Anolis sagrei: one gene and its partners. Each later gene encodes a partner of the first gene's protein in a complex. Links are inferred from orthologs where the notes say so. Each region holds a gene or a part of one and is shown on either strand. Other genes may lie near its edges.

What was found.
Region 2: the proteins of SLC3A2 (region 1) and SLC7A11 are in contact, whole or in part, in a cryo-EM structure (PDB 7P9V), measured with the Homo sapiens proteins. The link is inferred for Anolis sagrei from reciprocal best matches to the Homo sapiens genes SLC3A2 and SLC7A11. Residues at the interface, in NP_002385.3 of Homo sapiens: Glu167, Leu170, Ala173, Trp178, Thr181, Arg182, Phe189, Trp190, Trp193, Met196, Leu197, Gly199, Ala200, Ile203, Ile204, Ala207, Arg209, Cys210, Glu212, Leu213, Lys299, Arg534, Gln559; in NP_055146.1 of Homo sapiens: Leu151, Phe154, Phe155, Ile156, Gln157, Cys158, Glu159, Pro161, Leu163, Ala164, Leu167, Ile168, Ala170, Val171, Thr174, Val175, Val178, Gln217, Gln219, Val360, His373, Thr487, Gln489, Ile490, Ile491, Glu493, Val494, Val495.
Region 3: the proteins of SLC3A2 (region 1) and SLC7A10 are in contact, whole or in part, in a cryo-EM structure (PDB 8WNT), measured with the Homo sapiens proteins. The link is inferred for Anolis sagrei from reciprocal best matches to the Homo sapiens genes SLC3A2 and SLC7A10. Residues at the interface, in NP_002385.3 of Homo sapiens: Phe161, Thr162, Gly163, Leu164, Lys166, Leu169, Leu170, Val172, Ala173, Trp178, Arg182, Leu186, Phe189, Trp190, Trp193, Met196, Leu197, Ala200, Ile203, Ile204, Ala207, Pro208, Arg209, Cys210, Arg211, Glu212, Leu213, Arg534; in NP_062823.1 of Homo sapiens: Leu147, Val150, Phe151, Asn153, Cys154, Pro157, Ala160, Val163, Leu164, Met166, Ala167, Met170, Leu171, Trp174, Ser352, Val359, Glu481, Thr484, His485, Trp486, Gln488, Glu489, Leu490, Phe492, Val493, Val494, Tyr495, Gln497.
Region 4: the proteins of SLC3A2 (region 1) and SLC7A8 are in contact, whole or in part, in a cryo-EM structure (PDB 7CMI), measured with the Homo sapiens proteins. The link is inferred for Anolis sagrei from reciprocal best matches to the Homo sapiens genes SLC3A2 and SLC7A8. Residues at the interface, in NP_002385.3 of Homo sapiens: Thr162, Gly163, Leu164, Ser165, Lys166, Glu167, Leu170, Ala173, Gly174, Trp178, Arg182, Leu185, Phe189, Trp190, Trp193, Met196, Leu197, Gly199, Ala200, Ile203, Ile204, Ala207, Arg209, Cys210, Arg211, Leu213, Lys532, Arg534, Asp558, Gln559; in NP_036376.2 of Homo sapiens: Leu147, Leu150, Phe151, Pro152, Thr153, Cys154, Phe155, Pro157, Ser159, Gly160, Leu163, Leu164, Ala166, Ile167, Leu170, Leu171, Trp174, Gln294, Ser352, Met356, Val359, Glu481, Thr484, Leu485, Gln488, Lys489, Met490, Cys491, Val492, Val493.

The regions. Positions count from the first base shown.
Region 1 is NC_090032.1:12,314,963-12,322,246, reverse strand, and holds the start of SLC3A2 (amino acid transporter heavy chain SLC3A2), read left to right. Parts: upstream 1-4,279; 5' UTR 4,280-4,306; coding exon 4,307-4,400; intron 4,401-7,284. Other genes in the region: TMEM223 (transmembrane protein 223), read left to right, coding at 1-173. UniProt on the Homo sapiens protein: Acts as a chaperone that facilitates biogenesis and trafficking of functional transporters heterodimers to the plasma membrane.
Region 2 is NC_090025.1:44,305,104-44,313,044, forward strand, and holds the start of SLC7A11 (cystine/glutamate transporter), read right to left. Parts: upstream 3,013-7,941; 5' UTR 2,520-3,012; coding exon 2,243-2,519; intron 1-2,242. UniProt on the Homo sapiens protein: Heterodimer with SLC3A2, that functions as an antiporter by mediating the exchange of extracellular anionic L-cystine and intracellular L-glutamate across the cellular plasma membrane.
Region 3 is NC_090028.1:43,362,114-43,370,084, forward strand, and holds the start of SLC7A10 (asc-type amino acid transporter 1), read right to left. Parts: upstream 3,016-7,971; 5' UTR 2,861-3,015; coding exon 2,653-2,860; intron 1-2,652. UniProt on the Homo sapiens protein: Associates with SLC3A2/4F2hc to form a functional heterodimeric complex that translocates small neutral L- and D-amino acids across the plasma membrane. Preferentially mediates exchange transport, but can also operate via facilitated diffusion.
Region 4 is NC_090026.1:9,145,790-9,153,786, reverse strand, and holds the start of SLC7A8 (large neutral amino acids transporter small subunit 2), read right to left. Parts: upstream 3,002-7,997; 5' UTR 1,877-3,001; coding exon 1,750-1,876; intron 1-1,749. UniProt on the Homo sapiens protein: Associates with SLC3A2 to form a functional heterodimeric complex that translocates small and large neutral amino acids with broad specificity and a stoichiometry of 1:1.

The DNA of each region.
Region 1 (7,284 bases):
CCTTCTCGGTGCCCCTGCGCCACGTCTCCTGCATGTCCCACCGGTCAGAGGTCCCGGCCTGGATCCCACTCAAGGTCAAGGGGAAGCCCTTCTATTTCCTGCTGGACAAACAGGGGCGGGTGACAAACGCCCAGCTTTTTGACATCACTGTGGGGGCCTACCGCAAACTATAAAGCCCAAGGCTGCCGGGGGAGAAGAGGAACCCTTGCATTCATGAACTCAATGGAAGAAAACCCTTCTTACCCATCCCATCTTACTGCATTTTGAACTGGGATTGTGTTGGGCCTTCAGATGTGCCGACATTGTATTGGATGCTGTGAATAAAAAGATGTAAATAACTGTTTTTCAGTGTTTTGCACGTTTTAATTGCTTTCTGCATTTAATTTTATTTTAATACTAGCATAGGGACTTGGCGGTACCTGGGTGATTTGTTGTGGGATGTTAGGTAATATCACTTAAATCCGGTCCAGTTTGGTCCAGATCCATCGTTGGGTGGGTTCAGTTCTCTCTGGATAAGGCAGAACTACAACTCCCAGATTCCCAGGGCAATCACTTCCAAACCCTGCCAGTATTCACAGTTGGCCACGTTGGGTCTGTGTACCAAGTTTGAAATCAAGGTCAATCCCCCCCCCCCCCCCAAAAAAATCCCTCCAATATGTTTGGCTGGTCATGGGGCAGCTGTGGGCCAGGTTTGGTCCCGGTCCATTGTCTGTGGGGAACATAGTATCTCTGGATACAGGTGAACTACAACTCCCAGAAATCAAGGTTAATCCCTCACCCCCAAAAAACCTCTTCAATCTGTTCAGTTGGTCATGGGGCTTCTCTGGGCCAAGTTTGGTCCCGGTCCATTGTGGGGATCACATTATCTCTGGATGCAGGTTAACTACAACTCCCAGAAATCAAGGTCACCCCGCCCCCCAAACCCAAACAAACCCTGCAATATGTTCAGCTGGTCATGGGGCTTCTCTGAACCAAGTTTGGTCCCAGTCTATTATCTGTGGGGATCACAATGTCTCTGGATGCAGGTGAACTACAACTCTCAGAAATCAAGGTCAGTTCCTTTCCCCCCAACTCCTGCAGTTTGTTCAGTTGGTCATGGGAGTTCTCTGTGCCAATGTGGCCCAGATCTGTCACTGGTGGGGTTTAGAATGCTCTCTGGGATTGGCGGAGTCTACTTTGATTTTGGGAGTTGTAGTTCACCTGCATCCAGAGAGCACTGGACCCAGCCAATGACGGATTTGGGCAATACTTGGTGCGTAGACCCAACATGAACAACTGTGAATACAGGCAGGGCTTGGGGATGATTGCCCTGGAAATCTGGGAGTTATAGTTCACTTGCATCCTGAGAGCACTGAATCCAGCCAGGGATGGATCTGAACCAACCTGGCACTGCCGGGTCTCCAGGTTAGTAAAAACAACAACAGAAGAAGAAGAAGAAGAAACAATGTCGTTCCATAAGGAATTTGGATTGTGTTGTCAAAGGCATTCAGGGCTGGAATCACTGGGTTGTGAGTTTTCCGGGCTGTCTGGCCATGTTCCAGAAGCATTCACTCCTGATATTTTGCTCACATCTATGGCAGGCATCCTCCGACGTTGTGAGGTCTGTTGGAAAAAGGGCAAGTGGGGTTTATACATCTGTGGAATGTCTAGGGGTGGGAGAAAGAACTCTTGCCTGTTTGAGGTAGATGTGAATGTTGCCATTGGCCACCATGATAAGCATTTAATGGCCTTGCAGCTTCAAGGTCTGGCTTCTTCCTGTCTGGGGGAATCCTTTGTTGGGAGGTGTTAGGTGACCCTGATTGGAATTTGGATTGTTACGATGGCCAGATAGTTTTGGTTTCCAATATATTAAAGGTGAGCTGGGCCTAGCTTCCAAAGCCTTTTTTGTCCCAGACGTGTGGCATCTGCACTATAGTATTAATTCAGTTTGACACCACTTTTTTTTGCCGTGGTTCAAGACCATAGCTTGTAGTTTTGCAAAATCTTTTGCCTTGTTTTGCAAAAAGATGTATTTTCACATATAATGTTAACATATTTATATATCCTTTTAAAGATGCGGTGGTATTTCCGCATATTGTGTCGATTTATTTCCTTTACCATAATGAAATGCGATGGTATTTCCACATCAATGTCAATTTATGTACTCTTATAGGATGCAGCAGATAGAAGATGGCTTTGAAAAGCAGCAGATCACAGGAGCTATCTTCATAGACCTGTCAGCGGCTTATGATACTGAACCACCGCCTCCTCCTGAGAAAAATGTATACCATCTCAAAGGACTACCATCTCACCTGTCTCATAGGAAACCTGCTACAAAACAGGAGCTTCTTTGTTGAGTTCCAGGGCCAGAGAAGCAGATGGCGGAAACAGAAGAACGGCCTGCCTCAGGGGAGCGTGCTTGCTTCATCCATGTTCAACATCTACACAAATGACCAGCCACTGCCAGAAGGGACAGAGAGTTTCATCTATGCTGATGATCGTGCCATTACCGCTCAAGCAGGGAGCTTTGAGATGGTTGAACAGAAGCTCTCCAAAGCTCTAGGTCAATGATGGGCAACCTTTTGAGCTTGGTGTGTCAATATTTGCCAAAAAAACGAGCATAATTTGGGTGGGGTGACACTTCGAGAAAAAACCCATAATTTCATTATATTTGTAGTTTAATAACAAAAATATATTATTGTAATATATAACTATATTTAATAATCCAAAAACTATATCTCGGCATTATAGAAAAATGCTGGTGTAGGAGCCGAGGATGAAATGTCCTTCTTGGAATGTATGCGGCCACATGCAACCGTGTGTCATTGAAAATGGCTACGCGTGACAGTGCTGACACACGTGTCATAGGTTCGCCATCATGGCTCTAGGTGCTCTAACTGCCTATTACAGGGAAAATCAACTGATCCCCAACCCACCTAAAACACAGACATGTGCTTTTCACCTCAAGAACAGACAAGCATCCCGAGCTCTGAGGATCACCTGGGAAGGAATCCCACTGGAGCATTGCAGCACACCCAAATACCTGGGAGTCACTCTGTAATATATAACTGTATTTAATAATCCAAAAACTATATCTCAGCATTATAGAAAAATGCTGGTGTAGGAGCCGAGGATGAAATGTCCTTCTTGGACCATGCTCTGACCTGCAAGAAGCACTGCCTGAACATCAAGCAAAAAGTGGGCGCTAGAAACAATATCATACGAAAGCTGACTGGCACAACCTGGGGATCACAACCAGATACAGTGAAGACATCTGCCCTTGCGCTATGCTACTCTCCTGCTGAGTATGATGCCCAGTGTGGAACACATCTCACCACACAAAAACAGTGGATGTGGCTCTTAATGAGACACGCCGCATTATCACAGGGTGTCTGCGCCCTACACCACTGGAGAAATTACACTGCTTAGCCGGCATTGCACCACCTGACATAGAATCATAGAATCATAGAATCAAAGAGTTGGAAGAGACCTCATGGGCCATCCAGTCCAACCCCATTCTGCCAAGAAGCAGGAATATTGCATTCAAATCACCCCTGACATCCGCCGGGAAGTGGCAGCCAATAGTGAAAGGACCAAGGCAGACACATCTCCAGCTCATCCCTTGTTTGGGTATCAGCCAGCACGTCAACGACTTAAATCAAGAAATAGTTTTCTTAGATCTACAGAGACACTCGCTGGAACACCTCAGCAAGCGAGAGTCCAAAAGTGGCAGGCTCAAACCCAGCACCTCAATCCGTGAGTGATACCAGATGAGAGACTCCCCCCCGGGCACACAGAGGACTGGACGACTTGGAAGGCGCTGAACAGACTGCGCTCTGGCACCACGAGATGCAGAGCCAACCTTCAGAAATGGGGCTACAAAGTGGAATCCACGACATGCGAGTGTGGAGAAGAGCAAACCACTGACCACCTGCTGCAATGCCACCTGAGCCCTGCCACATGCATGATGGAGGACCTTCTTGCGGCAACACCAGAGGCACTCCAAGTGGCCAGATACTGGTCAAAGGACATTTAATCAACTACCAAGTTTGCAAAATTTGTGTTGTTTTAAATCTGTTTGTTTGTTTTGTTTTGTTAGAAATGTAATACAATGTTCTGGTTGCGGATGACACGTTAAATAATAAATAGGATGCGGTGACATTTTTACATATAATGTCGATCTATTTCCCTATTTCCCTGCCTTTCTCCTTCCCTATTTGGTTGCCTAGGCCTGACTTAGCCATGATGCTCTTCTGGTGGGTTGCCGTGCTGCGGTTGCCGTGCTGCGGTTGCCGTGGAAACGCCCATCCTCGCCAGTGGAGCCAAGATGGCCGCCCCAAAGGCAGCAGGGGAAATGGGAGGAGGAGAGACCCCCATTGTGGGGCCAGGAAGGACGGAGCCGGAGGAGAAGAGAAACCGAGGTGAGTTGCAGGAAGCGCCCACCTACCTATCCATCATTTCCTTTTTAAAAAATAGTATTTTAACATAATTTTGTGGAATATTTCTTTTAATTTTTTTTCCAAAGAGTATGGTAGGGATACAGGGAGGGGTAAGAGTGTTAATAATAATAATAATAATAATAATAATAATAATAATAATAATCTATTTGTACCCTGCCACCATCTCCCCAATGGGGACTCGGGGTGGCTCTCATGAGGCCAAGCCCGACAACGTGATACAGTAAATAAAATGAAAACACAAACAACAGCATAAAATATATTAGTACATTAATATATCATAACAAATATGGAATAGCTAAAAGTTTTCCGGGCCGTCTAGCCATGTTCCAGAAGCATTCTCTTCTGACGTTTCACCCACATCTATGGCAGGCATCCTCAGAGGTTGTGAGGTTTGTTGAAAACTAGGAAAATAGGGTTGATATATCTGTGGAATAATGTCCTGGGTGGAAGAAAGAACTCTAGTCTGGGTTGTTGTCGTTTTTTTCGGGCTCTATGGCCATGTTCTAGAGGCATTCTCTCCTGACGTTTTGTCTGCATCTGTGGCAAGCATCCTCAGAGGTAGTGAGGTCTGTTGGAACTAGGAAAATGGGTTTTCTATATCTGTAGAATGACCAGGGTGGGACAAAGAACCCTGGCAGTGCCTGGGGCAATCTTTTGTTGAGAAGTGATTAGATGTCCCAGATTGTTTCCTCTCTGTTGTTTTGCCATAGCAGAGCACCTGATGAACCAACCTGGACACAGCATATTATTTGAGAACACAGAAATGCTGGACCACTCTAACAACCACCATGTCAGACTACACAGAGAAGCCATTGAAATCCACAAGCATGTGGACAATTTCAACAGAAAGGAGGAAACCATGAAAATGAATAAAATCTGGCTACCAGTATTAAAAAACCCTAAAATTACAACAACAAAACAACAGAGGAGAAACAATCAGGCACATCTAATCACTTCTCAACAAACGATTGCCCCAGGCACTGCCAGGCAATCAAATGCTAATCAAGGTGGTCAGTTGAAACATTCACACCTAGCTCCAACAGATAAGAATTCTTTGTCCCACCCTGGTCATTCCACAGATATATAAACCCATTTTCCTAGTTCCAACAGACCTCACTACCTCTGAGGATGCTTGCCATAGATGCAGGCGAAACGTCAGGAGAGAATGCCTCTAGAACATGGCCATAGAGCCCGAAAAAAACTACAACAATCCAGTGATTCCGGCCATGAAAGCTTTCGACAACTCTGGTCTATTGGAGGTAGGTGTGAATGTTTCAATTGGCCACCTTGATTAGCATTTAATGTGTAGCCTGACATGTTGGTTGTCAAAGTGGTCCAGCATTTCTGTGTCCTCAAATAACAAATCTACATAGGGACCACCAAACGCAGCAGTGTTGCCCAAACACGAATCAAGGAACATGAAAGGCACTGCAGACTACTTCAACCAGAGAAGTCAGCCATAGCAGAGCACCTGATGAACCAACCTGGACAAAGCATATTATTGGAGAATACAGAAATGCTGGACCACTCTCACAACCACTATGTCAGACTACACAAAAAAGCCACTGAAATCCATGAGCATGTGGACAATTTCAACAGAAAGGAAGAAACCATGAAAATAAAAATCTGGCCCCAAGTATTTAAAAACTCTAAAATCATAACAGTAAATAAAGAACAACTTTCAGGGGAACTCCAGACAAGAAACAACCAGGGACAGCTAATCACCTCTAAACAAAAGATTCCCTCAGGCAGTAAGAAGCCACATCTGAAACTGCCAGGCCATTAAATGCTAATCAAGGTGTATTGTCGAAGGCTTTCATGGCCAGAATCATTGGACTGTTGTAGATTTTTCGGGCTATATAGCCATGTTCTAGAAGCAGGCAACCTCTAAGGATGCCTGCCATAGATGCAGGCGAAACGTCAGGAGAGAATGCTCAAGGGAGTGCATTTTTGAGGCACCTACGTCTGACAGATGTCCACCTGAGTTGATCCAGATGGCCAATAGATCTGACCCTGATCTGGTGTAAAGGAGCCCTTTGTGGATCGTGCCAAGGAATCGAATGTCCGGACACCGGAGAGGAGCAGGGTGTCCTTGCTGGGTGCCCTCTATACTCTCAGTAATCCAAGATATCTTGTTTCCTAATCTGATTGGCATGAGCCTTCAGTAATGTGCACCCTTCCATCATACTCTCACATCTTTCACCTGCTTTCCTTTCCTCCATTTCAAGTTTACTTTAATTATTAATTTCTATTATATTTATTATTATCATCACTATTATTTTAATTTCTATTATTATATTTATTTCTGTTATATTTATTATTTTAGTTTCTATTATTATATTTATTTATATTCTATGTATTATTGTTATTTATTTTATTTACATGTACATAACAACAACATAATAACATGGACAACACCGGCTCTTCGGCTTAGAAATGAGGATGAGCACCAGACCCCAGAGTCAGACATGACTAGACTTAATGCCAGGGGACAACCTTTTTTAACCTACATAACAACACAGCACACATGCACATTAGATCTTAATTTCTATTATTATTATTATTGTATTTATATTTATATATCACCTTTTCCCTCAAAAGGGATTCAAAAGTGGTGAACAGTGGTTAAAATCATAAGACTATAAGCATTAAAATGGAATGTAACCTAGTTCTATTTAAAATGAATAATTAAAAGCATTTCATCCAATTTAAAATGTACAAAACACCACAAAATAAATGCAGTTCTAGCTTTCATTAGACATACTGGGCATGAGCACATTAAATTAATGAACTTTAGATCATTGAATGAATTGAGCCACAATGACAGGTGGGTAACACATGTATA
Region 2 (7,941 bases), on another chromosome or scaffold:
TCTGGAAACCCCAGTTCCAATTTGCACTGAGCCAATCAATTCACTTGGGTTCAGATACATTTCATGGACTGCCTTCAGCTTTCTTAGACAGACCTACCACACAGAGTTGTTGTGACAATGCATTAGAGACAGAGAAGAGTATTGAGCTCATTAGATGAAATATGCTTATTAGGCCTGGGTAACAACGCAAAAATTTGTTTCTAAAATCAATTTGTATTTGGGGGGTTTTTTTGTTTCGATATTTAAAATAATTACAAAATTTTCCCTTAAAAAAGTTCGGTATTTACGAAATTTCGTTAATATTTACAAAACATTTTGTAAAGATGGCGCCCTTTTTTTTCAATATTTTTTCAATATTTTTTAATTTAATTATTAATTTAGTAGAATAGGGAGGAGAAATTATTATTAAGGAGGGAAGGCAGGCACTCACTCTGGCGGGCCCTCAAGCGCTGCCGCCGAGTCGGGCCCGGCTCCTCCAAAGCAATGCGAAATTGGGAGAAGGGCTCCCCAAAGGCCATCTAGCCCAGCCCTCCGCTAAGGAATTGGGAGAACGAAGCACAGCCCTCCACTAAGGAATTGGGAGAATGAAGCACACCCACCGCAAAGGTGAGGAAGGAGGGACGGGCCGCCTTCCCGCTGAGGGTCGCTCGCCCTCTCGCTCGCCCTCTCGCTCGCCCTCTCGCTCGCTTGCTCAGCCGGTGCCTTCCCCGCCCTCTCCTCCTCCTCCTCCTCCTCCTCTTTCAGACTCTGCCTCTGACTGGCTAAGAGAGGAGAGAGAGGAGAGCTCCCAGCAAGCATCGCCAGGCCATCTTACGTATTTCCGAAATGGACGGAAATACAAATTTTTTTGGCGCCTGCCGTTTCAATATTTAAAAACACTTCCGGGTTTAAAAATAAGTTTTGTAATCGTTTTGTAATTGCTAAAATTAGCGAATATTTAACGAATTACAATATTAACGAATGAAACCGCCCAGGCCTAATGCTTATGTGTTAACTAATAAAGGCAGCCCTCTGCATCCATAGGAGTTAGGGACACAAGACCCTCGCAAAAATGAAAAACACAAATAAAAAAAGATTATGTTGTTGAAGGCTTTCATGGCCAGAATCACTGGGTTGCTGTGAGTTTTCTGGGCTACATGGCCAACTTCCAGAAGAATTTTCTCTTGATGTTTCACCCATATCAATGGCAGGCATCCTCAGAGGCTGAGGGGACCCAGCCAATGCCCTAAATCAAGAAATAGTTTTCTAAGATCTACAGAGATACTCGCAGGAACACCTCAGCAAGCGAGAGTCTAGAAGTGGCAAGCTAAAACCCAGAACCTCAAGCCATAGCTGATACCGATTGAGAGACTTCCCCCTCGGCACACAGAAGACTGGACGACTTGGAAGGCACTCAATATAAAAGCCCGGAAAACTCACAGCAACGCAAAAAACATTATATTTTTCCCCAAGAGTATACTTCCCTAAGATTCTAAAGTTCCTACAATATGACTCTATGGTAACGGTTGACCATAGACTTTTTCTGGAAGACCTAAAGATTCCTAGAGAGAACATATTAATCAAATCCATGAATAATGAAACCTGCAAAAATGACACCTGCTAGACAACTGAACAGAATAAAATAAATAAGTGTAGGCAAGGGGCCTATCTTTCATGAAAGAAGTCTCTCTGACATTTAAGGATAAGTGGTGAGGCGTTCCAATTCCACATGCATAAATTCCAAATGGATTTGAAAATGTAAACTCTTTATTTTAAAAAAAAGCAGTTTAATTATTCCCTCATCCACACCACTGCTTTCCTGCTAGAAAATAGTTCAGCAGACGTTTACCCCATTGCATTTTGTATAGCCAATGACGCGCATATTCGCAGGTGTTCTTCAGACTAAGCAGTTCATTTCCCTTGCTGTCAACCCTCCACCAGCATGCTACAACTCATTCTCAACAGAAAGTCAATACAGACTGCAAACTTTATGATATGCTAAAGGAGACTAGCCTCTCCGCTTACTACAGGGAATTGTAAGGAATATCGCTTGGTGTTAAAAGTTCTGATAAAAGTATTCCTCGGAGTTTTGTGTGAGTATCTGAATGCTTGCCAAGCAGCAAAAGACCTTCTTCCCTCCCACCAAAAAATAAAATAAAATACTGAAGCAGTACAAGTAAGTCTCAAACCAGGCTTTTAATCCCCAGAATCAAATATCTTATATCTACCCCAGTGGATCAATTATGAATGCTCACAAACTTACCAAAGAGTGACAGGATGCCACAGACAGTCCAGACCGTCAAAGATAAGCCCACACTGCCTGTGTGCTCGAGGATTCCTTTGGGAGATATAAAGATCCCTGCTCCAATGATAGTGCCAATTATAATAGATATCCCTCTCAGCAAAGTCACTTTCTTCTTCAGCACCACTTTCTCTCTCTGGGCCGCCTTGGTGTGTAAGCCAGAGGGCAATGTGCCATTTGAATGCCCCTGCAGGTAGCTGCCATTAGAGATTGTCGGCACAGGAGACTTCCTAAACATGTTTTGGTGCTGCCCACACACCAAGCTGAGAACTTTGAAAAGCTCTCTGAACAGAAAGCCACCTCGGGTCTTTCTTTCCTCTCTCCCTCCTTTTGTCTAACTAGCTAACTCCTTTAAAAACACACATACACGAACACACACCGCCTGCAGCCTTTCAACCCACTTGTGCCAACAAGTATCAAACTCTTCAAGTGTCTTTTACTTTGGACGGCTGTCTAAACACTACTCAGGAACACCTGCCCTTTCTCCCAGCCACCTTTATGCCGCTCTGTCATTGGAAGCCGGCTCAGCTTCCGCATGGTCTTGTATTTAAGCTCGCCTGTCATACCAAGTTACTCTTGCTGAATGATGATGCAAATTCTCCAGGTTTGCATCAGCCATAGGAGCAGGATCCAAATCTAGCATTACTCAGCACTTTTCCCCTTTACTACAGTAGCAGGATGTTGCACAACTTGAGAAAGGGGGAAATAAATTCCCCGTAAGCAATCCCTCGTGGCAAGGTTTACTATATTGCCACACTCCCAAACAATGATAGAATCTCAGTGAGAAACAAAACTCTCTTTTCCAACATGGGGTGGGAGCAGTGCACCTTATAAATGCTGAAATACAAAGAGGAGAAAACAGAGCAAATAAATAGTGCCATGTCTGTTTATTTTTTGTTTATTGTTATTTTAAAAATCTGCCTACACTTCAGAAAGTGCAGAAAGAAATTCAATTCCCTTAACTGTAGGGAGGTGTTATAGGTTATGTGCATTCTTTTGTTGTTGTTGTTGATAATTTGATTTGGACCACATATATTTTCACAAGAGTACATGTCAACCTTGTTGCTTTCTGTTGTTTCCTAGCAACTCAGTCAGTCTAGGCTAATAATGGCTAATTTTACATAATTTGATAATTCTTTCATGTATTTGGTGTCTATCTTTATTACTTTTTTTCTAATGGCTCCCTGAAACATGGCCCAGGTCACATCAAAATAGCTCTTAACAGTGGTATCTTACTTTAAACATTGCTAGAATTGATGCATAGGGCACAAAGCTACTGGTGAGATTATTTGCCTCATAGAATCATAGACTTGAGAAGGATAGTTTTGTCGTGCAGGCATGAGCGAACTTTAGCCCTCGGTATTTTGAACTTCAACTCCCACAATTCCTAACAGCCAGTTAAACTGGCTGGGATTTCTGAGAGTTGAAGTCCAAAACACCTGGAGGGCCAAAGTTTGCCCATGCCTGGACTCTATTGCAAAGCCCCGTCATGCAGGAATACACAACTAAAACACTACTGTAAACTGGCTATTCAACTTCTATTTAAAGATCACCAAAGTCAACTGATCTCCCTGGAAATCTATTCCAGTGTCCAACAGCTGTTAACAAAGTTCTTCCTAATGTTCTCTTTTCTTATAATTTCAATTCATTGGTTTGTATCCTAGTCTGTGAAGCAAACTAAATTAATTTTCTTTTATCTTCAATATGACATTATTTCATATATTTAAATATATTCATATATCATATATATTCATATATCATGTTACCTCTCCTCTTCTCCAAGCTAAACATACCCAGCTCCTCAAGCTGATTTTCATGGGTCTTTGTTTCCAGGTCTTTTACCTTTTGGTCATGTTTTAGCTTGTCAATATTCTCCTTGAACTTTGATACCCAGAATATATGTGGCAAAATAATTTGGCTATCTTTAGGATCTATATGCCCTGTAGGCATGGCAGAGAGCAATATTTGCTGTTCCGCATCAGGCAGTCAAAATAGAGGACACTCAAGGTGATCATTAGAAAACCGTGAGGTGCCTCCCCTGGCCTGCATTTGACCATATCTTGATCAGGAGGAGAGACAATTTGTATTGTATCCAGAAATCAGAACACTCCCAAAGTTCAATTACCATAGTTTAATTTCCTGTGCTTAAGTTGCATCATTTGGTGCATTCTCTAATAGGTCATTGTGAGCTCTTATGAGTCATATATGCTTAAAGGCAAGTATGAATGTCAGCCTTCTTGACAGTGTTCCTTAGAGATATGCATATTAGTGCAATACAATGCATACTCTGCATTTCAGCCTGTATGTGAAGGCTATTCACAGTTGCTGGGTGAAAGAATAAAAAGAAATATTCCCAAAGTAGTTGCCTAAAGTGGCTAATCTATACAGAAGAACAAACAGTCCCCAAAATATTGATGTCTGGAACATGAAGCTATCACAAGGTCTGCAGAGGAACAGGAAGAACAAGAAGGAGGTCTCCCTCCCCCTCCTCTCTCTCTCTCTCTCCTGGCTTGTTCCACGCAGGAGTCCTTCATTGGAAATTCTGCAGAAAGACTTCTACGTGTAAAGAAATATCTATTAAAATGGTGGTTTTCGACCGTGTTACTCCATTTAAATTAATCCTGTCTAGGAGAGTGAAAGAAATCCTCATTAACCAGGGAAATGTTTTTCTTTTCTTTCTATAGAAACACTAAGTTGCCAATCAGGATTAACCTGGAATACTAAGTACTGATCATTAAAGAGAACGCAGGCACTGTGCCTACTGACTTTAGGCTGAAATTCCTTCAAAGAATCTCTCTTTCTGCAAGTGTATCTTGTTAATGTCAAAGAAATGCCAGGCCCTGTAAAGGGTATTAACATTAGAGTACTAATTAATTCATTATACTGGCAGATTACTTAATTCACCACAATAATCAAGCATAATGTTTAGCCATACTCTGCTTTGATAGTACATTTCAGCAGGAGAAATGATAGAGATGAAAATGGAATGGAGGGAAAGGAATGAAGGACTCCACATAATAATTTGGAAGTAAGTGATCTTGTGTAAATCCAGTTTGCTAATGTTTACATGTTTTGAGTTTCATATTTCATTATCTTTCTTTCTCCCTTGTTTATTTACATTTTAGGGCTCTTTCAGATGTATCAGAAGCTGGAGTTTTTGTTGCTCTACTTCTAGGACTCTTGGACTATTTTCTGACACATTTGTCACCAGCTGTGGTATTTTAATCCCCATCTTCAAACCTCAGTTAACTCATCTTTTGCTATTGATGTGCAAACCCCATCAATAGCTCCCAATCCCAGGACATTCTCATCACCTAGCTTGGTGCAATGGGTCCACCTGACTTCTATGCCAACATGGCAGCAGTAAAATGATGACAGGGGAGTAATTTTCCCCCTCTCCCTTCACTATTCTCAGGCTGTCTGTTTTCTATGTACAGTATTTGATATTTTACAGCTATGTTTGCAAAATTCCCTCATTTTTTAAAAAAAATACAGAACAGGAGAAAGGAGAAAGGCAGCATTACAAGGGTAATGGTACCTTTACAAAGGTAAAGGTTTCCCCTTGACATTAAGTTGAGTTGAGCCCAAATCGGAGTGGTGGTGCTCATCTCCATTTCTAACTGTCGTTAAATAAATAAATAAATAAATAAGCCGAAGAGCCAGCATTGTCTGTAGACACCTCCAAGGTCATGCGGCTGGCATGACTGCATGGAGCAATGTTATCTTCCTGCTGAAGTGGTACCTATAGATCTACTCACATTTGCATGTTTTTGAACTGCAAGGTTGGCAGAAGCTTGAGTTAACAACGGGAGCTCACCCCGTACACGGATTTATATGGCCAACCTTCCAATCAGCAAGTTCTGCAGTTTAACGGTTTAAGAGCTGAAAAAAGCGGTATAGAAATAAAGTAAATAAATAAATAAATAACACACTGCGCCACCACAGCTCCTACAAGAGTGTGTAGAAGTTGTCAAATTGGTGCAATTCCACAAATGAAAAGAAGTGTAATGTAGAAGGTATCTATCCCAGTATGTATCTATCATCAATGTCAGTGTAACTGCTATGGAATAGCAACTTTGTACAACCAAGTCCCATATTCCCTTCTTGTTTTTATGTATTGTGTGTAGAATTATATTACTATAGTTCATTTATGAAATACAATTTAGAACTATTACTTTATAACTTAAAATTATTTTAATTTCAAAGAGGAGAAAATTTGCCCTTGAAACCCCACAGAATCACATCATTAAATTGTACCCTGATTTTTAAAAAAAACCTTGGAATCATTATAATAACGTGCTACAAGCAGTTCCTTGAAAATAATGTAGTGAATGGACATAGAACTAAAATCTTAAAAACTATGTCACAAGAACTCAAGCTCCTATAGAGCTTTCCAGATGGTCCCTCCATTTCAATTCAGAGTGGGAAAATATCAAAACCAGTTAACAAGTAAACCAACTTCACTTTATATCATCATCATCATTGTCATCTTATACTACAATTAAAAGCAGCTTTACAAGCATCTGGAGGTGAGGGCTGGTTTGGAAATGTCTTGCAATATGCTCGGGGATACTTTGGAGTACAGGTGTCTTTCCTTCTGTAGTGGTTTGATGCTAGCAATTTCACTGTTATGTTGCCTTATAATTCACACCACAAATTAAAGATCAGCCTCATAGTAAATCTTTCCCATTAGATTGTGCATGGATAATATTTTTTGCTTAGAGCATTCCCATCATTTCTTCCCATGTATGTTTGGAAAGAGGGAAAGACTAGAGATGGCAGAGGAAAGTCACTGACTAGAGGTGGAAAGAAATGAATTAAAAATAACATTGTCGTTGTTACTGTTGTTTGCCATCAAGCAAGTCCATCTTGTGGCAATCCTATGTGTGAGCACTTCCCAAGATCAACTATCCAGCTCAAGTCTTAGAAACTCAGGATATGGCTTAACCAAATTAATTCAATTTGTAGTGTGGTGTACCTCAGTTTCTACTGCTTTCCACTTTACTAAGCATTGCTGCCTTTTCCAATGAGTCATGACATCTTATGATATGTCCAAATTATGATTGCCCCGATTTAGTCAGTTTGAGCTGTCTTTCTTTTTCAATGTTTTTTAAAAAGTTTTTTTATCATGTCAGGAACGACTTGAGAAACTGCAAGTCACTTCTGGTATGAGAGAATTGGCCGTCTGCAAGGACCTTGCCCAGGGAACGCCCGGATGATTTGATGTTTTCATTATCCTTGTGGGAGGCTTCTCTCTTGACCCCGCATGAGGAGCTGGAGCTGATAGAGGGAGGTCATCCGCCTCTCCCCAGATTTGAGCCTGCGACCTGTCGGTCTTCAGTCCTGCCGGCACAGGGATTTAACCCACTGCGCCACCGGGGGCTCCCGGTGGCACAGTTAAAAAGTTAAAAAGCATTATATGCATAAACAGATTAAAATTAGGAATAAGTAAATAATTTGTCATTACAGCAAAGAGCTGGCAAATATAGGGAGAAAAAGCAGAGGCAGTGACATACTTTATATTTTTAGGTGCGAAGATTACTGCAGACGCAGACTGCAGCCAGGAAATCAGAAGATGCTTAATTCTTGGGAGGACAACAATGACTGATCTCGATAAAATATTGAAGAGTAAACACATCACACTGGCAACAAAGATCTGC
Region 3 (7,971 bases), on another chromosome or scaffold:
CGCGTGTATACATGTATCTATGTTCATTTGCATGTAGGAGGAGAAGGAGATGAAGATGGAGGAGGAAATGGAGATGGAGAAGGAATGTGGTGGAGATCATGGAGATGAAGGGGAAGGGGATGGAGATGGAGATGGAGGAGGAATGTGGTGGAGAACATTCACAGCCCATTTCTATCTCCTTCTTCGATATCTATCTATATAATCAAAGTGAAAGTTTGTACACATGTATCTATGCTCATTTGCATGTAGGAGGAGAAGGAGATGGGGATAGAGAAGAAGATAGAGACGGAAGAAGAATGTGATGGAGATCATAGAGATGGAAGGGAAGGGGAAGGAGAAGGAGATGGAGAAGGAGTTGGAGAAGGAGGTGGAGATGGAGGAGGAATGTGGTGGAGATCATGGAAGGAAAATGGAAGGAGATGGAGATGGAGATGGAGAAGGAGTTGGAGATGGAGGAAGAATGTGGTGGAAATCATGGAGATGGAAGGAAAGTGGAAGGAGATGGAGAAGGAGTTGGAGATGGAGATGGAGGAGGAATGTGGTGGAGATCATGGAGATGGAGGAGAAGGCGAGGGAGATGGAGAAGGAGATGGAGAAGGAATGTGGTGGAGATCATGGAGATGAAGGGGAAGGGGATGGAGATGGAGATGGAGATGGAGGAGGAATGTGGTGGAGAACATTCACAGCCCATTTCTATCTCCTTCTTTGATATCTATCAATATAATCATAGTGAAAGTTTGTATACATGTATCTATGTTCATTTGTATGTAGGAGGAGAAGGAGATGGAGATGGAGATGGAGGAGGAATGTGGTAGAGATCATGGAGATGGAGGTGGAGGAGGAAAGTGGTGAAGATTATGGAGGAGGAATGTGGTGGAGAACATTCACAACCCATTTCTATCTCCTTCTTCAATATCTTTCAATATAATCAAAGTGAAAGTTTGTATACATGCATTTATGCCCATTTGTATGTACTGGAGGAGGAGATGGAGGAGGTGATGGAGATGGAGGAGGAATGTGGTGGAGATCATGGAGATGGAGGGGAAGGAGATGGAGATGGAGATGGAAGAGGAATGTGGTGGAGAACATTCACGGCCCATTTCTATCTCCTTTTTCGATATCTATCCATATAATCATAGTGAAAGTTTGTATACATGTATCTATGCTCATTTGTATGTCTTTTCCAAGACGGACAACACTTCCAGAGATCACTGTGACTCCCACCTACCGCAGTTCTGGACCAAACTTGGCACACAGACACCCCATGACCAACAGAACATACTGGAAGGGTTTGGGGAGGAGGGCAGTTGGCCCTGGATGATGGGAGTTATAGTCCACCCACAATCAAAGAGCACTGTGAACCCAGCTGGTGTTCGGTGGGAGCTCTGTGACACCCACTGATGGTGGATCTGGACCAAATTTGGCACACAGACACCCCATGATCAACAGAACATATGGGCAGGGTTTGAAGGGGGTTGACCTTGGAGGTTGGGAGTTGTAGTTCACCTTAATCAAAAGAACGCTGTGAGCCCAACCAAGGATGGGTTGAGACCAAACTTGGCACACAGACCCAGCATGCCCTGGCGGGGTTTGGAGGCGGTTGACCTTGAAGGTTGGGATTTGTAGTTCCATCCAAAGAGCCCTGTGACTCCCACCGACAGTGGATCTGGACCAAATTTGGCACACAGACACTTGATGATCAATAGAACATACGGGCAGGGTTTGAAAGGGGTTGACCTTGGAGGTTGGGAGTTGTAGTTCACCCTAATCAAAAGAGCACCGTGAGCCAAGGATGGACTGGGATCAAACTTGGCACACAGACCCCACATGCCCAACTGGCAGGGTTTGGAAGGTATTGACCTTGGAGGTTGGAAGTTGTAGTTCACTCACACCCAGAAAGCAGTGTGAACCTAACCAAGGATGAATATGGACCAAACTTGGCACGCAGACCCAACATGGCCAGCTTTGAATACTGGCGGGGTTTGGAGGCGGTTGACCTTGAAGGTTGGGATTTGTAGTTCCATCCAAAGAGCCCTGTGACTCCCACCGACAGTGGATCTGGACCAAATTTGGCACACAGACACCTGATGATCAACAGAACATACGGGCAGGGTTTGAAGGGGGTTGACCTTGGAGGTTGGGAGTTGTAGTTCACCCTAATCAAAAGCGCACCGTGAGCCAAGGATGGGCTGGGATCAAACTTGGCACACAGACCCCACATGCCCAACTGGCAGGGTTTGGAGGCAGTTGACCTTGGAGGTTGGGAGTTGTAGTTCACTCTAATCAAAAGAGCACAGTGAGCCCAACCAAGGATGGACTGGGACCAAACTTGGCATGCAGACCCAACATGCCCAACTTTGAATACTGGCAGGGTTTGGAAGGGATTGACCTTGGAGAAGTTCTAGTTCACCCACATCCAGAGAGCACTGTGAACCCAACCAAGGCAGGACTTGGACCAAACTTGGCACGCAGACCCAACAGGATCAACTGGTAGGGTTTGGAGGCGGTTGATTCTGGAGCTTGGGAGTTGTAGTCTAGCCGCGCTCGTTCCCAAACCCCAGAAGCAGGAGGGGCTGCCCCCAGATGGATCCTTGCAGAAGCCCCCCCCCCCCGGGCGACCAAGCGAGTCTGCCCCCCTCCCTGCCTACCTACCGATGATGATGGCACAGGCGCTGACCAAGCCGATCTCCTTCTTGAGGGTGACCCTCTCGGGGGCGCCGGGGGGCTGGGGCGGGGGCTGCTGCTGCGGGTGGGGGGGCCGGGGGGGCTGGGGCTGGGGCGGCGGCGGGTGCGGGGGGGCCGGCTGCTGCTGCGCCGAGATGCTCTTCCTCAGGCTCCGCGGCTGGTTCTCCCCGGCCATGGCTCCCCTCCTTCGCCCCTTCTCTGCCTTCCTGCCTGCCTTCCTTCCTTGGGGGGCTGCGGTGGGGGTGCCCCGCGGAAAGCCCTCCGGCCGCGCTCTGCCTGCCTTCCTTGCCTCACTCAGTCGGGGGAGCCAAGCCCAGCTGGAGCGCTGGCGGAGGGAGGCGCATGCGCCTCTGGCCGGGCTCGGGAGGCGTTGGGGACACTCGCCCCTTTGGCCCCCGCCCATTATTCGCCCATCCAACTCTCGCCCCTTCCCTCCCTCCTGGAGACTGGCTGCGGAAAGCTCCTCTCGCGACCCCGCTCTCCGCCCCAGCTCCTGCCAACCTAGCAGTTCCAAAACATCCACATGGAATGAGATGGGTTGTTGTAGGTTTTTCCGGGCTATATGGCCATGGTTTAGAGGCATTCTCTCCTGACGTTTTTCCTGCATCTGTGGCAAGCATCCTCAGAGGTAGTGAGCATGCTTGCCATAGATGCAGGCGAAACGTCAGGAGATAATGCTTCTAGAACATGGCCATATAGCCCAAAAAAACCTACAACAACCTAGCGATTCCTGCCATGAAAGCCTTCGACAATACATAAAACAATAAATGTAATGGGTTGTTGTAGGTTTTTTCAGGCTATATGGCCATGATCTAGAGGCATTCTCTCCTGACGTTTCGCCTGCATCTATGGCAAGCATCCTCAGAGGTAGAGAGGTCTGTTGGAACTAGGAAAAAGGGAATTATATATCTGTGGAAAGGACTCTTGTCTGCTGGAGCTAGGTGTGAATGTTTCAACTGACCACCTTGATTAGCATTTGATTGCCTGGCAGTGCCTGGGGCAATCTTTTGTTGAGAGGTGATTAGATGTCCCTGATTGTTTTCCCTGTTGTTTTGCTGTTGTAATTTTAGTTATTTTTTAATACTGGTAGCGAGATTGTGTTCATTTTCATGGTTTCCTCCTTTCTGTTGACATTGTCCACATGCTTCTTGTGGATCTCAATGGCTTCTCTGTGTCTTCTGACACGGTGGTTGTGAGAGTGGTCCAGCATTTCTGTGTTCTCAAATAACATGCTGTGTCCGGGTTGGTTCCTCAGGTGCTCTGCTATGGCTGACTTCTCTGGTTCAGGTAGTCTGCCGTGCCTTTCATGTTCCTTGATTCGTGTGTGGGCAATGCTGCGTTTGGTGGTCCCTCTGGAGTCTTCTTGTCCACAGCTGCATGGTATACAATGGTAGACTCCTGCAGAGGTGAGAGGATCCCTCTTGTCCTTTGCTGAACGGAGCATTTGCTGGATTTTCTTGGTGGGTCTGGAGATAGTTTGTATGTTGTGTTTCCTCCTCAGCTTCCCTCTGCGGTCAGTGGTTCCCTTGATGTCTGGCAAGAACCCTTTTCCTCTGGGTGGATCTTGGTCTTGACTCTCGTGGCTTCTTCTCTGTCTTGCAGCTCTTCTTGCCATAGATGCAGGCGAAACGTCAGGAGAGAATGCCTCTAAAACATGGCCATATCGCCCAAAAAAACCTACAGCAACCCAGTGATTCCGGCCATGAAAGCCTTCGATAGCAGGATTGAATTCAGATAGAAGGCCTATGCGTGAGATATGCTATGCATGAGATATGACTTCTAAATATGCTTTGACCCAGCCCTGGGCCAACTTGGGCCCTCCAGGTATTTTGGACTTCAACTCCCACCATTCCGAACTGCCTCTTGCTGCAGATTGTGGGAATGAGCAACAAGGAGGGCAGGCAAAAAAGAAAAGGACAGCTGTGATTATATAAACATAGGTTTCATGAATAGGCACCCCCCCCCCCAATCTGCTGCGCCTGCAATAAATTCCTTTATGATTGGAAGGGAAATAAGCTCTTAAGGGGTTTAGCTTGATTACGAGGCAATATTGGTAGCCAGCCCCAAACAGGCTTGAATGCGGACTATCAACAGGTCCTATTAAATAGGTGATTGCATTGACATAGTTCAGCAGCAGGACACTCCCGAGCTTTGAAATTGTTTTATATATAGCCCCCTCAGCCCGGTCATAGCCAATTTCTACATGGAACACTTTGAAAAGAAAGCCCTGGAAACAGCAACCAAAAAGCCCACTACATGGTTCAGATATGTGGATGACACCTTCACCATTTGGAGCCACGGAGAAGAAGAACTCAACAGGTTGCTGGACCATCTCAACAGTATCCACCCAAACATCCAATTCACCATGGAAAAAGAAAATGAAGGAAGACTGCCTTTTCTGGATGTCCTGGTCATCCGTAAACCAGATCAACAATTGGGTCACACCGTCTACAGAAAACCCACACACAGAGATAGATATCTACATAAAAACTCCAACCATCACCCAAAGGGAATCTGTGAAGCACACCTCCTCCTCCAAAAGGAACTGAACCCCCTCAGGCTCTCCAGGCCAATGGAGACTCCACCTCAGGCATCAGAAGAGCTGCAAGACAACCGAGAAGAAGCCATGAGGGAGCTGCGCCCGTACCTTGGGAAGTCTGACTTGGCCACGGTAGTCCACGCTCTGGTTACATCCCGCATAGATTACTGCAATGCGCTCTACATGGGGCTGCCCTTGAAGACTGCCCGGAAGCTTCAGATGGTCCAGCGCTTGGCAGCCAGGTTGTTAACAGGAGCGGCACTCAGGGAGCACACCACTCCTCTGTTGAGCCAGCTCCACTGGCTGCCAATTTGCTACCGGGCACAATTCAAGATGCTGGCATTAGCCTACAAAGCCCTAAACGGTTCTGGCCCCTCTTACCTCTCCGAACGCATCTCCTCCTATGAACCGGTGCGGACATTAAGATCGTCCAGGGAGGCCCTGCTCTCGGTCCCGCCTACATCACAGGCACGATTGGCGAGGATGAGAGACAGGGACTTCTCGGTGGTGGAATGCCCTACCGGTTGACATCAGACAGGTCCCCTCGTTGCTGGCGTTTTGGAGGAAGATCAAGACTTGGCTCTATGAGCAAGCGTTTGGCTAATCAGTGCAACTGAACAACTGAACACAGGAAGTCGGTAAAACTGAACATAGGAATGGCACAAGGTGGACTTCTGCAGCTGGCAGCTGGTAATTTTGTCAGTGCTGATTGTGTTTAAGTGCAGGCCAAGGTCTTGAGGCACTGCACCCAGTGTGCCGATCACCACTGGGACCGCCTGGCACAAGGATTATGAGAATGGATCTTGCTCTGTTGAGGCGTCATGAATTGATTAGGAATTGATAATAACTGTTGATTTTGTTGTAATGTGTGATGTGTTTTTAACTGTATATTACTGTATAACTTGCACTGTGTAAACCGCATTGAGTCGCCTAATCTAGGCTGAAAAATGCGGTATAGAAATAAAGCAAATAAATAAATAAATAAATAAATGAGAGTCAAGATGAAGGTCCACCCAGAGGGAAAGTGTTCCTGCCAGACATCAAGGGAACCACTGACCGCAGAGGGAAGCTGAGGAGGAAACACAACATACAAACTATCTCCAGACCCACCAAGAAAATCCAACCAATGCTCCATTCAGCAAAGGACAAGAGGGACCCTCTCGCTTCTGCAGGTGTTGACCGTATACCATGCAGCTGTGGACAAGTCTCCAGAGGGACCACCAAACACAGCAGCATTGCCCAAACACACATCAAGGACCATGAAAGGCACGGCAGACTACCTGAACCAGAGAAGTCAGCCCTAGCAGAGCACCTGAGGAACCAACCTGGACACAGCATATTATTATTTGAGAACACAGAAATGCTGGACCACTCTCACAACCACCGTGTCAGACTACACAGAGAAGCCATTGACATCCACAAGAAGCATGTGGACAATTTCAACAGAAAGGAGGAGGAAACCATGAAAATGAACACAATCTGGCTACCAGTATTAGAAAACTCTAAAATTACAATAGCACAACAACAGAGAGGAAACAAACAATCACCTCTCAACAAAGTTTGCTCTAGGCACTGTCAGGCCATTATATGCTAATCAAGGTGGTCAGTTGAAACATTCACCCCTAGCTCCAGCAGACAAGAGTCCTTTGTCTCACCCTGGTCTTTCCACAGATATATAAACCCTTTGCCTAGTTTCCAACAGACCTCACTACCTCTGAGGATGCTTGCCATAGATGCAGGCGAAACGTCAGGAGAGAATGCCTCTAGACCAGTGGTTCTCAACCTGGGGTCCCCAGATGTTTTTGGCCTACAACTCCCAGAAATCCCAGCCAGTTTACCAGCTGTTAGGATTTCTGGGAGGTTGAGAACCACTGCTCTAGACCATGGCCATATAGCCCAGAAAAACCTACAACAACCCTGTTTTATTGATGTCGATAAGTAGCCCCCAGTGGCGCAGCAGGTTAAACCCCTGTGCCGGCAGGACTGAAGACTGACAGGTCGCAGGTTCAAATCCGGGAAGAGTGTGGATGAGCTCCCTCTGTCAGCCCCAGCTCCCCATGCAAAGGGGACATGAGAGAAGCTTCCCACAAGGATAATAAAACATCAAAACATCCGGGCAACGTCCCCTGGGCAACGTCCTTACAGATGGCCAATTCTCTCACACCAGAAGCGATTTGCAGTTTCTCAAGTCGCTCCTGACATGAGGAAAAAAAATGTAGCTAGATTTGTTTGATGTTGTTTTGATCCATGTTTGTCGTTTTTTAGGTAGTTCTTTAGTTGTTTTCCTTTTACTGTGTGATTTTGGGGTGTTTTGGAAGTACTCCTGTTTAATCCGGATTTTTTGCCAGGATAATCCGGATTATTGCCTTAGTTTGTTTTTCAAGCTGGAAATTGCTGCAACTTTTGAGTTTTGACCAGAGGCACTGAAGTAAGTGTCTCTGAGTCTTACTTACTTTGTATTAATAAACTATTCTTTTGGACATACTCCTGAGTCTGGCTCTTTAAGGCGTCTGGGTTCCGACAGGGAAGCTGCTTCAGGTGCAAGAAAAATAAAAGAAAATATAGGAATCATAGAATCCTAGAATCCTAGAGTTGGAAGAGACCTCCTGGGCCATCCAGTCCAACCCCATTCTGCCAAGAAGCAGGAATATTGCATTCAAAGCACCCCCAACAGATGGCCATCCAGCCTCTGTTTAAAAACCTCCAAAGAAGGAGCCTCCACCACACGCTGGGGCAGAGAGTTCCAC
Region 4 (7,997 bases), on another chromosome or scaffold:
TATGGAATCATGAAAATTGTAGTTTGGTGAGGCATCTGCACTCTTTGGCAGAGCAAGCTAAAGACCTTGTCAGATTGGTGAAACTGAGGCCCCTTCTACACGGCCATATAATCCAGATTATCAAAGCAGATAATCCACTTTGTCTTCTTTTAACTGGATTATATAAGGGCCCTTCCACACAGCCCTATATCCCAGGATATCGAGACAGAAAATCCCACATTATCTGACTGTGGACACAGATAACCCAGTTCAAAGCAGATATTGTGGGATTTTCTGCCTTCGTATTCTGGGATATAGGGCTGTGTGGAAGGGCCCCGAGTCTACATTGCTAAATAATCCAGTTCAAAGCAAATAATCTGGATTTTATATGGCAGTGTAGAAGGGACTTGGGAGAGGAACATATATCTGTCAAAAGAAGAGGTCAGGAGCAAAGGATGAGCCTGTTAAAAGTAAGGTAAGAAATGCAAAATAAAACCCAAGATGAACTTTGCTTTGGGAAAATAGAGGCTCAGGCTAGGCTTTAGTCATCTTCACCCACTCACTCTCCCTATTTAGAAAATTACCCAAGGAACTGAATGGAAGAAGCAGAGCATGAAATGTACATTTTCAATCAACTTGTTATCATGGCATGATGGAGAGATGTACTTTTAGTGTACTGTGGCTCAGGAAAGGAGAGAAGAGCTCAAACGCTAGGTGTACTTTGGAGTGCTAGTAAGGCTTCTATGGAAAGGGAAGTCACAGTTTTTCAAATGTCCCTCAAAGTGCTTTTTCCTCCATTCCACAAAGTGTTTGTTTCAGTGGTCTCCTGGCACCTGATGAAACAGAGCCATCTGGAGTGGGGTTGATGGAGCTGGAATAAAAACACTCCAAGGCAGGCACTTCAAGGCACTGAAGTGAAAAACAAACTCCTGTGACCAAGAGGAGAACTGCTAGGACGTGCTCTGATCTTGCACAGCTGTGCTGGTAAGCCTTCAAGCCAGAGTCCATTGGGCCATGGCACCCCAGGCTTCCAATGATAATACTCTTTTTCCCTCCCTCTGAGGCAGGGTTAATTGGAGGACATAACTGCTTGTCCGGTTTAGAAACCCAGCTACTTTTTGGCAGAGGACACTTGTGTACTCAGAGAAGACTTGCCTGACATGGATCTATTAACCCATGGGGCAAAGCAGCTTTGCTGGCTGACATCACTGTTTGTTTCTGTAATTCTTCTGGGCCAAGAAAGGTGTTTATTCAAGTTTCACACACTGACGGCTTAGGTTCCAACATTCCTAGGATGGGACACAAGAACCTGCAATTGAGAGGTTTCTAATATGTAGAATGATTTAGGGTGGAGTACAGTGCCATAAAATGGGAAGTGGCCAAGAAAATGGTTTTTATTCCAACAGAGAACTAAAACAAGCAAGGGTTAGGAGGAGTTTAGAGGCTGGCCTTGGAGCTGCTTTAGGGAGGAAAAGACTAGCCGTAACCAGAGTGGTAATGCAAACCGACAACTATCAGGTGTTTAGAGACAGAAAAGGCAAGGCACAAAAAGCAGCAGCAGTGGTTAAAACTGAAAATGAGGATTAAAACATGCAACTAAAAATACTTTTGATATTCCATTCTATTCTCAAGAAGTGAGAAAAAAACAGAATACAGAAGAACACAAGGTGTCCCCCTCTAATGTCTGCTTTCTTGTTGATCTGAGAGGATAATGAGCAAATTATTTTATCTTATTCAAAGAAATCATATCCCACCAGAATCCTCACTCACCCACAATGATGCCGCACGCGCTCATCAGTCCAATCTCTTTCTTGAGTGCGACACCACCGCCGTCTGATTTATCTGAGTTAGTTGAATTCTTCTCAGCACCACCTCGTCGGCGTGCTCCATCCTCCATGATGTTCTGGCTTCCAAGGCAGACCCTGGAGTCTTGTGATAGATTCCCACACAAGATTTAAGGCTTTGGATTTGGTTCTCCCAGAATTTGAGCCGCACTAGTTCTATTCCTGGTGATCCAACTATGTTCTTGAATCCTTTGGGAAAGGGCCTATGCAAGGAGCAAAGTATACCTCCCAGGAGCAATGTGTCTTGTAGTCCAATTTGGGACTTATGGGTGCAGCTCTTTACTGTATAGACTTTGAAACTGGGCTTCTATTTTGAGAATCAAAGTGTCCCAATTACCTTTCAGAGCTAGTCCTTCTCTCCGATAGTTGTTATCTCTTTCTTAATTCTAGTTCAGCCTACCTTGGTTCTCACACCAATTCTGCTAAGACTGAGCTGGCTCTCTCTATTGCCCTTTGGTATATGCGTGCTAGTAGTTAACCATTTTTTGGTCCAAGCTGATCTTCCTGTCTATGAGGTGGGAGCTCCAATCACAGCTCCTGATGGCGAGGAATTCCTTTCTTTCTCTCTCTCACGTTTCGACGGTTTCCTTCTGCAAAGTTTCCCCTGAAGTCTAGGAGGAGAGTCACAATAGCGCGAGGAAAGCGACTGGTTTGATCTTGTTTGTTCAGCTCCCACGCGTCTATCACAGAGTCAGTCTAATCAGCAGCACTATCTTAGATCTTCCTTCTGGCTCAGTTTTGTAAAGAGATCCCTGGAGTGTTCTTTGCCAGGCTATTCTCTCATCACAGCTGGCTCTCTCTCTCCTTTGGATTGTTGTTGATAAGCTCGTTTCCTTGTTCCGGCTGAGATTTTTTCTCTCCCCACCAAACGCCTTGGCTTCTCATTCCCTTCCTCAGCTCAGTTCCTTCTCCCTCTCCCCGCTCCCCTCTCCTGGTGTTTTTCTCTCTCTGGGTTGCTCATGTGCCTGAACCTGAACCGGCTTCTGCCGGACGAAGGGTGTGGTGGGGGTCAGTCCTTGATTCCAGGAGACATCGAGCCAGACTCCTCCTTCCTCCCTTACCTTCCTGCTCACATCAATAGGAGCTGAATCAGTCAAAAGATCCCATTTTCATCGCTCTCTCTCTCTTCTTCCCAAACGGAGACTCAGCCATCTCTGCTTGGCTTGCCTTTCCTCATGTTAGATAACAGCCATCGTGTTCCATCCATCCACTGTTTCAGGGCGAGGAATATACATTAGTTGCAGTGATACCAGCTCTGTACCATACCTGTTTATATTAGTTTATATGAGCCTTCATTACCAGAAACTAAGAGTGGGTCTACCCTGTAAAATTAATGTAATTTGGACCTCACTACCTCTGAGGATGCTTGCCATAGATGCAGGCGAAACGTCAGGAGAGAATGCCTCTAAAACAGGGGTCCACAAACTTTTTAAACAGAGGGCCAGGTCACAGTTCCTCAAACTGTTGGAGGGCCAGATTATAATTTGAAAAAAAACATGAATGAATTCCTATGCACACTGCACATCTCTTATTTATAGTGCAAAAAACACTTAAAAACAATACAATAATTAAAATGAAGAACAATTTTAACAAATATAAACTTAATAGTATTTCAATGGGAGGTGTGGGCCTGCTTTTGTCTTTAGATAGGATTGCTGTTGTTGTGTCATTCAAGTCATTTTCAGACTTTGGTTGACCCTGAGCGAGGGCCGGGTAAATTACCTTGGAGGGCCATATCCGCCCCCCCCCCCCCGGGCCTTAGTTTGAGGACCCCTGCTCTAAAACATGGCCATATAGCCCGAAACAACCTACAACAACCCAAAATTAATATAGTTTAACCCTACTTTAGCTGCCATGAGTCAATGCTATGGAATCATGGAAGTTGTGGTTTTGCAAGATCTCTGCCCAAAAGTATGGGTACCTCCCTAAACTACAAGTGCCATGATTCCTTGGCATCCAGTCATGGCAGAAAGTGGTGTCAAACTGTACCCATTCTACAGTGTACATGCACCCTAAGGGATTTCTAGACTATTCCCAGACTGCCACCCATTTTTGTGAAATCTCGTGGCAGGTAGTTCCTACAGTCAATAGGTGCATAGTTTCTGTAAAGAAAAATGCTCATTTTTCTCTTGTATGGCATAATCTTATTAAAGGATACCTCAATCTGATCATTCTTTTATATGTCTCATCACTCCCCTCTTTGCTTCTCTAAATAGCTTGAAGTGCCTGCACAAACTCCATGTTGTAATTGTCGAAGGCTTTCATGGCCAGAATCACTGGGTTGTTGTAGCTTTTCGGGTTGTATGGCAAGGGGTCCTCAAACTATGGCCCAAGGGCCAGATACAGCCCTCCAATGTAATTTACCCGGCCCTCGCTCAGGGTCAACCTAAGTCTGAAACCGCTTGAAAGCACACAACAACAACAATCCTATCTCATCAGCCAAAAACAGGCCCACACTTCCCACTGAAATGCTAATAAGTTTATATTTGTTAAAATTGTTTTCATTTTAATTATTGTATTGTTTTAAGTGATTTTTGCACTACAAACAAGATATGTGCAGTGTGCATAGGAATTCATTCATTTTTTTTTCCAAATTATAATCCAGCCCTCCAACAGTTTGAGGGACTATTACCTGGCCCTCTGTTTAAAAAGTTTGAGGACTCCTGTTCTAGAAGCATTCTCTCCTGGCGTTTCATCTGCATCTGTGGCAAGCATCCTCAAAGATTGTGAGGTCTGTTGGAAACTAGGCAAGTGAGGTTTATATATCTGTGGAATGTCCAGAGTGGGAGAAAGAACTTTTGTCTGTTTAAGGATGTATATGTTGGGTCAACTAGCATTTCAGAGTTTCTAACTCCCAAAGTCACTCTTGTCTGTTTGAGGCAAGTGTGAATATTGCAGTTGACCACCTTGATTAGCATTGAATGGTCTTGTAGCTTCAAGTTCTTTCTCTCACCTTGTACATCATTCCACAGATATATAAACCTCTCTTGCCTAGTTTCCAACAGACCTCACAACCTCTGAGGATGCTTGCCAAGATGCAGGTGAAACGTCAGGAGAGAATGCTTCTAGAACATGGCCATACAACCCAAAAAACTTACAACAATCCATGTTGTAATGTTATAAGACAAAATTGTAAAATTTTAAATTCAGATGTCTTGGGGATCTTACATTCATAGAGTCACTGTAAGTGAGTTGAAACCAGCTTAATAATAGAAGGGAAAAAAGGAAAAACAAGATAATGTTGTTCTTAATTAACATTATTATATATTTCCCCCTTTAATTACAGTAGGCTATTGGTATGCCCTGGGGTTGGGTTTCCAGGACCTCATGGGGATACCAACATTTATGGATATGCAAGTCCCATTATATACAACTAGCCATCACCTGCCACACATTGCTGTGACCCAGACTGGTGATCTGGAAAATAAAGTAATGAGAAAGTGTTGGTTTTTAATATATGTAATTTCTCCATGCTTGTGGGTAAACAGTATTTCTTGCTGTTTCTTTGTCAGTGTTAATGTGGAGATTGTTTGGTTTGCCTACTCTGGAGCATGCAACATATAATTGTCCTTCTTTAGGGGTCCCTTTCAAATCTATGATACTATATCTGTGTGTGTGTGGATCATATATATCTATATCTATGGCTGGATGGCTCTTTGTCAGGAGGACTTTGATTATGTTTTCTTGCCCTGGTGAAGGGAGTTGGACTGGATAGTCTTAAGTATTTTCTGTTGGTCATGGGGGTTCTGTGTGGGAAGTTTGTCCCAAATCTGTCGTTGGTGGGGTTCAGAATGCTCTTTGATTGTAAGAGAACTATAAATCCCAGTAACTACAACTCCCAATTGTCAAGGTCTATTTCCCCAAACTTAATCCGTGTTCATATTTGGGCATATGGAATATTCATGCCAAGTTTGGTCCAGATCCATCATTGTTTGAGGCCACAGTGCTCTATGGGTGTAGATGAACTACAAGTCTCAAACTCAAGGTCAATGCCCACCAACCCTTCTAGTTTTTTCTGTTGGTCATGGGAGTCCTGTGTGCCATGTTTGATTCAATTCCATGACTGGTGGAGTTCAGAATTCTCTTTGATTGTAGGTGAACTATAAATCCCAGCAACTACAACTCCCAAATGACAAAATCAATTTTTTTGAGTGATGGTCACTCCTTGGGTGAATAGGTGTCTTGTGCCCAAATTTGACGGCAATTTGTCCAGTGGTTTTTGAGTTATGCTAATCCCACAAACAAACATTACATTTTTATTTATATAGATGTTGTGGCAAATGGTTTCCCTTCTATTAAATGGCAAAAGAAACTTTTGTTTCTGGGAAAATTTTCAGGACAAAATTTCAAGCAGAGTGGTTGAATCCATATATACGGAGGGGCAGATGTACTTCTAATGCTGCATGCAAGTCAGATTTGGGTTCTGCCTGATTTCCCCTCAATATTTATTCAACTGGCACCCAAGGTGACTTACAATATAGTTTGGAACAAAATACAGTTAAAATGTATAATTATGAAGCTCTGAAAAATTGAATAAGTAATCTTGTTAAAAACACCAATTTAAAACACTTTGAATTTCTGTTAAATTTCTTCCTTTCCACGATGGCATTTTCTTATGCTATTTCAAATTGCAAAAAGCCTCACATGAGAGGCAGATTTCTCCCTGAAGTACTGGAAATTGTCCTGGTATGTAATTTGTATCTAAATTGCTGCCCTTCAGCTTGGGCATTTGAGATAAGGAGGCATGCTGAAAAATTATACATACAACAAACTATCCTTGGTCAATAATAGCAATCTTTTTACCATTGACGTATTTGTCTGCTAACCCACATACTGTGATTCACTGTGGGGTGCTTCAGTTTAACCACATTTTGATCAATATACATAGTCCATTTCATTAATTGCTTTCATCTTTTTTTTCTTCAGATATTTGGGCATTTCATGTACATAAATATGTGAGGAAAATGGGTGGCTGTTTTGCTCTTTGTGTGTCTGTGCGAGCATCTACACTGAAGAATCAATGAAGTTTGACTTTCTCATCACTCAATGCTTTGACATTCTGGAAGCTGTAGTTTTACAATATCTTTAGCTAAAGAGGGCTGGTGTCTCAGCAAACTACAGCTCCCAGGATTTCATAGCATGGAGCCATGGCAATTAAATTGGAGTCAAACTTTAATTCGATAGTCTAAATGTACCCACAGTGGTGTGTTTTAGGAGATAACAAAATTTAAACCAAGGGTGCATCTACAAATTTAACTTTAACTTCCATGGCTCAATGCTGTTGAATTATGGGAGTTATAGATTTACAGCAAATTTAGCCTTCTCTGCCACATAATGTTGTTGCTTTAGCAAAATAGAAATGCCAGGATTCCATAGCACTGAGCCATGGCAGTTAAAGAGATGTCAAATTGTATTCATTCTGCAGTCTAGATGCACCCTGTGTGCATGTGTTTTAAGTATTGGAAAGTATCATCAAAGAGGAAGAAATGAGACAGTTGGCAAAAGGAGAAAAGCAATTGAAATTGAATAAGGACCAAAATGACAGAACTTTTTGGCACACACACCCTTTCTGCCTTGCTATTTTGCTTCCTTCTTCCCCCGCACTATGTTCCATCCCTTCTGTTCCTTGTCCCCAATTCCCCTTGTTTGTGACATTCTCCTTCTCTCTGCTGATCCTGCACCTTCTCTTGCAATGTGGGGGTGAAGTCCAATCTTTGGGGAGCACCTTGACTCTTTTATCATCATATCAGCCGGAACAGAAAAGAACAAAGGTCAGGGCTGGGAGGGAGAGACGATAACAGCAAAAAGAATAAGAAAGCAGCCTCTGGGGGCAGAGGAATGGCTCATCAGCAAGAATTGTGCCGCAAACAATTTCGAAAGGGATAACTCTGTTGCAAGAAAACCACAACAAGAAGAGGTCCTGTAGCACCTGGAAAACTGGCACAGTATCCTGGAATTTGAGATTGAGGACTACAAATAGCTTCAGAAACATCAAACTGCATTTGTGGGAGGAGACGTTGGTTAGCTTTCAAGGTGCCGCAAAATTCATCGCAAATAGTACATTTAAATAGTAGGAAGAGCAAAATAATAATAATAAAAAGGAGGCTAAAGTGAAAAGGAAATAAGTAAAAACTTCATTATACAGTACATCCGCAGGGGATATGTAACTTCCCA